2 linked regions of the Arabidopsis thaliana genome follow. The protein of the gene in region 1 interacts with the protein of each later gene in a pairwise test. Each region holds a gene or a part of one and is shown on either strand. Other genes may lie near its edges.

Region 1 (4,721 bases):
TCATCTCATTTTATGTCGCTCTAACAACATGACCAGCTGAGCCCTAATTGCAAGTCTCCACAAAACTTAGAAATCTTCTAAGTTTTTGGTTTGATAATGAAGACGTAATTAACATAAATTAAAATTAAATTCAAGGTTGTCTATAGAGAAAGCCAAAAGAGGAGTCAGTACTAGTCTACTAGACAATTCACATGACCGTCACTTAGGTAAAAATGTTAAAAGACAAATGAAATGGCAGTTAGGGTACAATAGTACGTAAGTAGTACTAAATGATCATAATTATTAATAACGTCGACGTACTTCACTTCATGATGCAAGCTTAACACAAATACGACGTCAATTACGTATGTTCCTCGTCATGACCAATCTCAATCACAATCACTTATCATCCCTATAAATTTACACATTTCTTTAATAACAAATTTTAAATACTTCGATCAAGGACGTGCTCATGTGCAACACATAAAACATAACACACTTACAAAATAAAACTCTGGTTAGAATACCATGTTAAATTTCATGGACCAACCTAAAAAACTAATTGGCTACGTCCTTTATATCTTAGTCTTGGTCCCGATGTTTACCTCATACCAGTCCATGATGCAAATTTATATAAAGCAAAATATTTGAATATATGTAAATCGTTACACGAAAAAGATTCTACAGAACACATAAATACACAAGGCAAAAGAGTCAGAGAAGCATCAACGTACGAAGCTCAGAATCCCAAATTTGTCTCTTTTTGTTTTTCCCCCGGACAGAACCCGACTAAATCAATTAATGATACACATCATCTTTGGTACGTTTCCTGTTCTTCTTCATTGTCTCTTTTTGGTCTCATTCACACAATTGCAAAAATAAGCCAAAATTAAATTCAAATCCTCCCACATGACAAGAGAAAACGAATTTTCCAAACCCATGCATTGCCTTACAGAAATCATACTTTTTTTTCGTCACATACTCCCATTAAGCATATCTAGAAAACCAACTCAACGATACAAGTTTTTAAAAATAAGTATCTTAGAACCAAACCAAAAGTCCAAGACCACAACGGATACAAATACTTCCGTTATACATACACACAAACACACATATATCTATAGTATAACGTGACGTACAACATTCATTTCCATAACCAGCAAACAACACACGTAGTAGATACACCGAAAGTAAGAAAAAAAAAGCGATTTAAGTAAAAAATTGATTACCTCTGATTATATTGTTGTTGTTGTTCGACGATAGTGATAGTGTTGTGACTACTCATTCTCTGTCTCTTAGCATTTCCAGAAGAAGATGATTCCTCTACATTGCTCTTCTCCATCACCGCTTTCAAAGCTTCCTCAATCGTCCCTATACAGTACTCTTCCTCCACTTCCTCACCGGAGCTCTCTTCTCCGGTAACAAACAAAACGTTCTTGACTCGTCCCCCAACGGTGGTTATCTCCGCCTTGAGCGTTTTGAGACGCATAGCTTTCAATGTTTTAATCATGTCAGGCAAGAGATCCGACCTGTCTTCACAGCAAAGCGACGCTTTAATTACAAATCTGCCATCTCCGGTTTCTTCCTCCTCCGTGAAAGCTACCGTTAACTCATCGCTTTCCGTTGGGACAAGATTTGTCTCTGAGATCACTGAAGTCTCTCTCTTCAACTCTTTCACATGTTGGATCACTTCAGCTAGTAACGACGCTTTATCCGTCTGCATTAAAAAAAACGAAGAAAAAACATATTTGTATAGTTTCGAGGAGAAAATTATGTGGTCGTAGAAGTTATGATTTGGTCCGGCAATAAGACTTTTTATGCTTTTTAAGCAGCGCCGGTTGTTTCTCTTTATTACATCAATTAACCAAACGACGACATAGACGTTCCATATTCCTTGCTTTTTTATTTATACTACAGTCTCTGACTGATTCTCTCTCGGGACTTTAACAAATACCCACAAGATCATTGATCAAAACAGAAAACCTTTGAATAACTTACTTCTCCTTTTATAAAACCTAAATGTAAAAAAATAAAAAGAGACAAAATGTGACATAAACTTTCATGTCGCAGCTACTATGTTTTTCCACTTAAACTCTACATTGTTTTAGTATTATTTTTTATTTACAAAAAACTTAAACGGTGTGTGATTGATGAATGTTTTTACTTATGTATGAAAATTTATGTTATAAAAATTTTGGACTTACTTTGGTGGTGTTGGGTAATATGCTACGGAGCTTAGCGAGATGATTATTGATTCTCTCTCTTCTTCTTCTCTCAGCTTCACTATGACTCTTTGAAGCAGCCAAAGCTTTAGCGTCCATGATCTCTTGTGCTGTCATCTTCCCTAACTCAGCTTGTAACCCAAAAGGACCGGACCCGGCTTGTACTACCGGACCTAAAGCTTCCGACAAGATCCGAAGTTGTTCATGATGATGATGTGCTGCTGACGTGGCTCCACCAAAACCCTCGTACCCAAACTGTAATCCCTGATGATGAGCTCGACTTCTGTTGAAGAAACTTCCGTAGAAAGATGCTGGAGAAGAAGAAGGAGGAGGAAACTGATCAAATGGTGGTTGGATCGAGGTAGGTGGAGGTAGAGACCATATTGGAGAGACGGAATCTTGAGAGAAGATAGTGAAACCAGATCCAACGTTACCGGATGCTCCCAAAGTTTCAGATTGAGAAGGATCATGATGATGATGGTGATGATGAGAGATGAGTTGGTGAAAGAAGAGGTCATTTTGGTAATTTTGTATGTTGTTCATGGCTTCAGAACTGTCTTCTTCTTCTTCTTCTTCTTCTTCTTTCTTAGCGCACATATCACTTGTTTCTATGAAGACATGAGAGTCTTCATCTTTCAACTCTTTGTCCTCTTCTCTCTCTCTATATATGTATATATATATGTGTGTAAGAGAAAGGAAAGGTTGGTAAAAGAAGGTAGGAGAAGAAACGAAAGTTAAGAGAGTTAAAAAGAGACAAAAGTTTGCTTTCAAATGTTGTAGACGCAGACATATATAGGAAACTCATGCGTTTGTTTGTTACCAATGGTTTGCAGGATATGTGGAGTTTGCAACTTGTGTTTTGTGTTGTGGTGGAATTATTAAAAAGGTAAAAAAAAAAAGGTAATGGGTTTAAGATTCTTTAGATTATCTATCTTTTAATTTACGCATTTAGTACTTCACGGTCTATTTCTATTTCTATTTCTAATAAGTATATGGACAAGCAATGCGATCGCCAAATATCCATACACAGAAAAATAATTTGTATATATAAAAAGACACAAAAAGAATTTATATATACAAAATGACACATAATACATATCTTTTAAATTTGTTTCAGAGCATCGAAAATATATGAGTCGGCACTATACAGATTTAATTGATTTATATAAATAAAATCTACGCTATAGCACTAAACTAGGTATTAGAGACCACATAATATACGTTACAAATTTGTAGGTATCAACAAAAAATTGATTATTTGTCTTCTATTAGACCACTAACTAGTTATGGGAGAGCACATAACATTGTGTAGGATAGTGATTTGGTTATCTTTTTTTTTTGGTCAATTGTTTTCTCGTTGATATAAAACCATGATACTAATTAACAAATATTAACCAAATTCATGTAATCTAATAATTGATACTAATGTTTCCTTATGTCATCATCCGAATTCAAATCCTCATAACTAAATATTATGACCCTATTATATTGATAAGGCAAATGAGTTCTGACCATAAGGAATTAATGGGCTAAATGAGTTAGATTGTAAAAGATTTATGATTCACCAATATTTACCCACATTTTGTTAAAAACTAAAAAAAAAAGTAAATGATATTCGTTTCTTATTATATTCATGATATCATAATATTATCATATCATCACCATCATACCCCATTATCATCATCATGATCATATAATTTCACAATTTGTTTTTTTTGGTCAAAAACTGAATTTCAATGAATCGTGAATTATGTAATTTCGCAACTTCCAGCTAAAAGTATTTCATAATAATTATTGCTAAAAACACAAATCCACAATTTTCCGCTATATTCAATGTTTCGTAAAAACATGATTTTTGCAGAGAAAACTATATTTTTGTTTTGTTTTGCAAAAGCACGATTCCAAAATTTTGTGCCATAAAGGTGATTTCAAAATTATGATGATAATGGAGATGGTATGAAATGATGATCGTTATGTTATGATGATGATAAAAATGATAATGCGATGATGATGTGAAGACAATGAACGTATCACATATGATACCGATTGTAATAACTATTAATTATGAAAATATGTGATAAATTATTACAAAAATATTTTATGGGTAGAACTATTTTATCATTTTGATTTTCGACCCATCAAATTAGATAGATTAATAGGCATTTACCTCCCCTCATACCAGAAACTAGAACATTTTATATGGTCAACCTATTTACTAAATGGCTTACGTTCTTCGTTCACCTAGTTAACATTCACCCCATAAACATTATGGATCAAATTGGACTGGATTACCCATATTGTCACCTATAAATAAACAAAATTTAACATAAAATTAAATGCTTGCAAAATACTAGTGTCAAGTGCTAATAGTAAACTCGTCTTAAAGTTACAATTGTTATAACTTATAACATAATTTACAAAAGGTTTATATTATGGATTTTATATATATATATATATCTAGATTTAAAATTTATATTTTACAAGCTCTAGGTCTTCATTTGGAATTTATTCATACACATT
Region 2 (4,477 bases), on another chromosome or scaffold:
TGTAAATATATTAGTTATGGTTAGAACTAGTATAACAAACTTATGGAAATGCGTACATTGCGTCTGAAACCATTAATTAGCGATATATACATTTGAGATTTATAATCATAAAAATCTAGAGTCCTTTTGCTTATACAAGACGAACACTTATAAACGTTTCCAAAGGGGGGAACTTTCGAAAGTTGTTGAAATGAGAGATATACAATTGCGAAGTATAGAGAAATAAACTTCAGGACATTGACAATAATATGAAATGAAGTACACGATTTAGTTGATAAGAAAAGAAAAGAAAAAAAGTATACACGATTAATTTCCTTTTAGAAAAACCAATCATACATCGATTTGATGTTTAAGTCTAGAATATGTGATGCAATTTAAATTATCTGTTTTTGTTTTCCCTGAGTACCCAAGAATATTGGGCGGAGCAGATTGATGCCAATATCAATATGTAATCAGTACATGCATGCATGTGGTATATATAGAGAGAAAATTGTATGTTTTTGCTTACATAACTTAAATCAACCAGACAACCAGTGATGCATGCATGTGGTATATAACGAAATTCACATGAATGTTCTTTATCTTAAGGAAAAAAGGAAGATAAATCAGACGAAAGTTAATTGTCTCAAAAGGTAAAACAAATGTACGATACAATGATTAATAACAAATTGTATAGTATAGCTAGCTACCACAATCTAAGTATCGTATTCGTACGTAATTTCGTATGGATAGAGAAGTAAGTATATATGTGAGAGTGTCTGAGAGAGGAGAGGCACGAGAATCGTGTTGACCGTTTCGTGTGGAGTTCTTTAGTAAGCTAACCAACCTTCATGTCTGTCGTGCTCCTTTTCTTCACAACATTAATCCTCCCTTTTCTTTTTCCGTACTTTGCCATTTTCAAAATTAGTTTTATTTCACGAAATTCTTAGTATTTCATGACTTCATTTTGGTGGGTTCATTTTCGTGAATTACTTCTAAATTTCCCCCATTCCTTCTCCAAATCAGTAGAGCCGCTATTAATAAGAAAGTGTAACTTCCGAATGACAATGACGGTGCTTGGTTGTGTTTGCTACAAACATAGAACTCGAATTTTTCAAATAATAAGAGTGTTGGACATTAGTATAGCGAGACAAGATGATGATGAATTCAGGTATTCTCACAAGGCAACGTTCCCAAACAGCAGGAACTACCACAAGAGCAGTTTAGCTTGTCGTCTCTGTTCTCTCCGGCCACACTTACGTCTCCATAACTGAAACTTAACTCCTCCTCTGCGATTATGTCCTTTGCTGCAAAGAAACAGAGCCGAGGAAGCAACGCTCCTGAGCTTCTCAACAGAACAGTGGAGAGATTTCCACCGTCACAAGAATGGTTGATGAATCTAGCAACGTTCCCAATTCTTGTGGCGTCGATGTTTATCCTTAAACAAGCTTGTCCTGAAGGGAGGTGTTCGCGTACGACCAAAAGAGCTGAAGCGAAGGATTGTGTTGATCTGAGTTTGTCGTAAATGTTTTGACGTCTACGTGCTTCATCTGTTGTCAATAGCTCACCTATAAGAAGAGACGACAAAATCAAGTTTATGACTTTTGCATAAACCAAGTCATTAAGGCAGATCACAAAGAAAAAACACATTCAAGAAAGAAGAAAGATTTGTCATTATCTCTAATCTCCAAATCCAGCATTGTGATACTACCTCTAAACGATTGAAACAAGAACATTTCGAAAGCTCAGATCTTTCACTGATGGAGATCACTCTTAATACCATGCTAGAATCTCATCTCAACGCATCGAGCTAAATCATATGCAGTCCAAGTGTAAAAGGCTAATAACTAATGCTAATATTCCTCAAATCATGTAATCTTAAGCTTGATTTTCAAGTTCCAATTATCAATCTTCCAAAATTAGTGACCTACTGCAATAAAACGAATCACTATACTATTAGGAAACCAAAAGTTGGTTAACGTTACCTAATGCTAATATTCCTCTAATCATGTAATATGAAATCGAAATGTAATTGTAACCTGCATATTCACAGATGAATTGGCCTTGCTTGATAAGCTGGTCAGCGTACAAGCACCAACCTTTCTTCTCATCTCTCACAATCTTCAAACTAACCGAAACCCCCTTCTGCGTAACCCGGTTCGAACAATCGGACCCGCATCCACAACCCGACCCACATTCGTTAGCTATCTCTTCCATCCCCGCGAAAGCTAAACACTTGCAGTATCCTTCCTCACACCTCTCGCATTCGCATCCTGACTCGTCCACTAAACTCACCCCAAAACGTCCGCTTTCACTCACTGAGTCAAAACAAGGTCTAGACTCCGATCCACATTCATTAGCAGCAGCTCCCCACCATTGTCGCGGCGGAGGAGGAGATGAAGCGGGGATCTGAAAAGGTGTGTAGATGAAGTACGCGTATCGTTGAGAATCGATGGAGTTGTGAAACGGGATTGAGATGTTTTCCAAGGATCGTGCAGCGTCGAGAGATCGGTGAATGGTTAGAGATTTCGAGATTAGGGATAAGGTTTTGCAGGTTTGAGCAACAACGGCGAGTTCTCGAGGGTTTAGCCATGGGAGAATCAAATTCGCACATCGGAGAAATCGATCGGCGGCCGGAATAATGTCGGAAGCTTCTCCAAGACAACGCGTCTTCGGTGGTGGTGACTCTCGCAGTCGCTGCATATTTTTTCTCAGCCAGCGATATACAAACGACGTCGTTGCGTTTAATTCTATTTATATCCTTAAATTCTATTTTAATTTCACTTCAGTAAGAATTTTTTAAAGAAAAATGGCGAGTTTTTTTGTGTTAATCATAACTATAGATTTACTACCGTCGCTTTGGTCTGTGTAATGAAATCTGTCATTTTCACAGAGGAAAAAAACTTACAAAGACAAAATCCATTGCAAAAGAGCGAGCAACAACGACGAAATTTCGAAATGCCATCGCCACCGACGACGACTTCTCTCTCGGTGACACAGACCATAAACGGATCACACAGCTTCACAATCAAAGGCTATTCTTTGGCTAAAGGAATCGGGATCGGAAAACACATCGCCAGCGATACTTTCACCGTCGGGGGTTATCAATGGGCTATCTATTTCTATCCTGATGGCAAGAATCCTGAGGATAATTCGGCTTATGTCTCCGTTTTCATTGCTTTAGCTAGCGATGGTACCGATGTTAGGGCTCTTTTTGAGCTTTCTTTGCTTGATCAGAGTGGTAAAGGGAAGCATAAGGTTCATAGCCACTTCGATCGTGCTCTTGAGAGCGGTCCTTATACTCTCAAGTATCGTGGCAGCATGTGGTTCGTTTCTTCGATTTCTTCTTTTCAATTTTTTTATTTTTCTCTTAGCCATTTTGCTAGGGTTTGGTGAAGAATTGGCTTAGGGTCTCTGATTTCTAGTGAAAGCTCATTACTTTTAGAACAAATTTTGCTCCTTTGTTGGGGTTTATATGAGGTTACGGATGTTATTAGTGGTCAAGACTCAAGAGTGTAGATTGTTGAAGGCAAAATGAGATTGAGCTCACAACATTAAAAAATATAAAAGAGATTGAGAAATTCAGAGGAAATAAAGATACATTAGCTGTGGATTTCTCAATCTGTTTGTTTCTTTTTTGTTGTGTGACCTGTATATGAAATTGAAAGATGGGTGGTGAGAGCGATAAACAATGTTCTTTATTTTTTATGCTGGAGGCTGCTTGGCTTTATTTTTGTGGTCTGCTTGAAACTGTGAGTCTGTGACGTATGGAAAGAGAGAGGGCTTTGAGTAGAAGAAGCAAGTTTCTAGAATATGAAGGTTCTATTACCTGTTTTGGACATTCTGTAACTAGTTTACCTGAACTTTTCATAAACAGAATTTGGTTCCTGCTGCTTCACCAGCATGTAGCGTTGGTTCTGTAGTTAAGGAAACTTGATTGGGAACGAGAGAGGGTTTGGACTGATGATATTTAGGATTTTCTTGAAAAGTATTGTGTTTTCACATGTTGGCATGATTTCAAAGACCTGTCATTGTGATGTTTTACTATATAGGCACCAATTCTTTCAATATGGTAGGCTAATTCTGAAGTAGGAACATTGCTTACTGTTTACCTGCATATAGCAGCACAAACCTTGCTTTTATGAAACTGTTCATGTTAGGTTTGAAACTTCTTGTATGAGTTAAGCAACAGAGTATTGTCTTTTGCTCTCAATATTCGTACATTTGGTTTTCCTGCTTTTTTAAACATCTGTTGTTAAGTCTGCTTGTATGAATTAATCAACCATTGTCTCTGGTTTCTTCTTCTTGAAGGTGATGCCTTTGGCTTTGATTTGTCTCTCTATTAGAAAGATCTCATTGCTTATTAATGCAGAGGAATAATTCCCTCTTAGAGTTTTGTACTTCCCTGTTTCGCTCAACGGATCCTTATTCAATTTTATATGCTTACAGGGGCTACAAGCGCTTTTTTCGAAGACTTATGCTGGAAACATCTGATTTT

The links. Proteins that work in one complex are often made in the same cells at the same time.
Region 2: the proteins of AT1G68810 (region 1) and SDG20 interact in a two-hybrid assay, tested with the Arabidopsis thaliana proteins (one large-scale study listed by BioGRID).

Annotation. Positions count from the first base shown.
Region 1 is NC_003070.9:25,859,366-25,864,086, reverse strand, and holds AT1G68810 (basic helix-loop-helix (bHLH) DNA-binding superfamily protein), read right to left. Parts: upstream 2,994-4,721; 5' UTR 2,799-2,993; coding exon 2,184-2,798; intron 1,697-2,183; coding exon 1,205-1,696; 3' UTR 553-1,204; downstream 1-552.
Region 2 is NC_003074.8:938,181-942,657, reverse strand, and holds SDG20 (SET domain protein 20), read right to left. Parts: upstream 2,759-4,477; 5' UTR 2,683-2,758; coding exon 2,019-2,682; exon of another isoform or gene 1,548-2,018; coding exon 1,147-1,547; 3' UTR 564-1,146; downstream 1-563. Other genes in the region: BPM4 (BTB-POZ and MATH domain 4), read left to right, coding at 2,851-3,305, 4,429-4,477. UniProt on the Arabidopsis thaliana protein: Histone methyltransferase.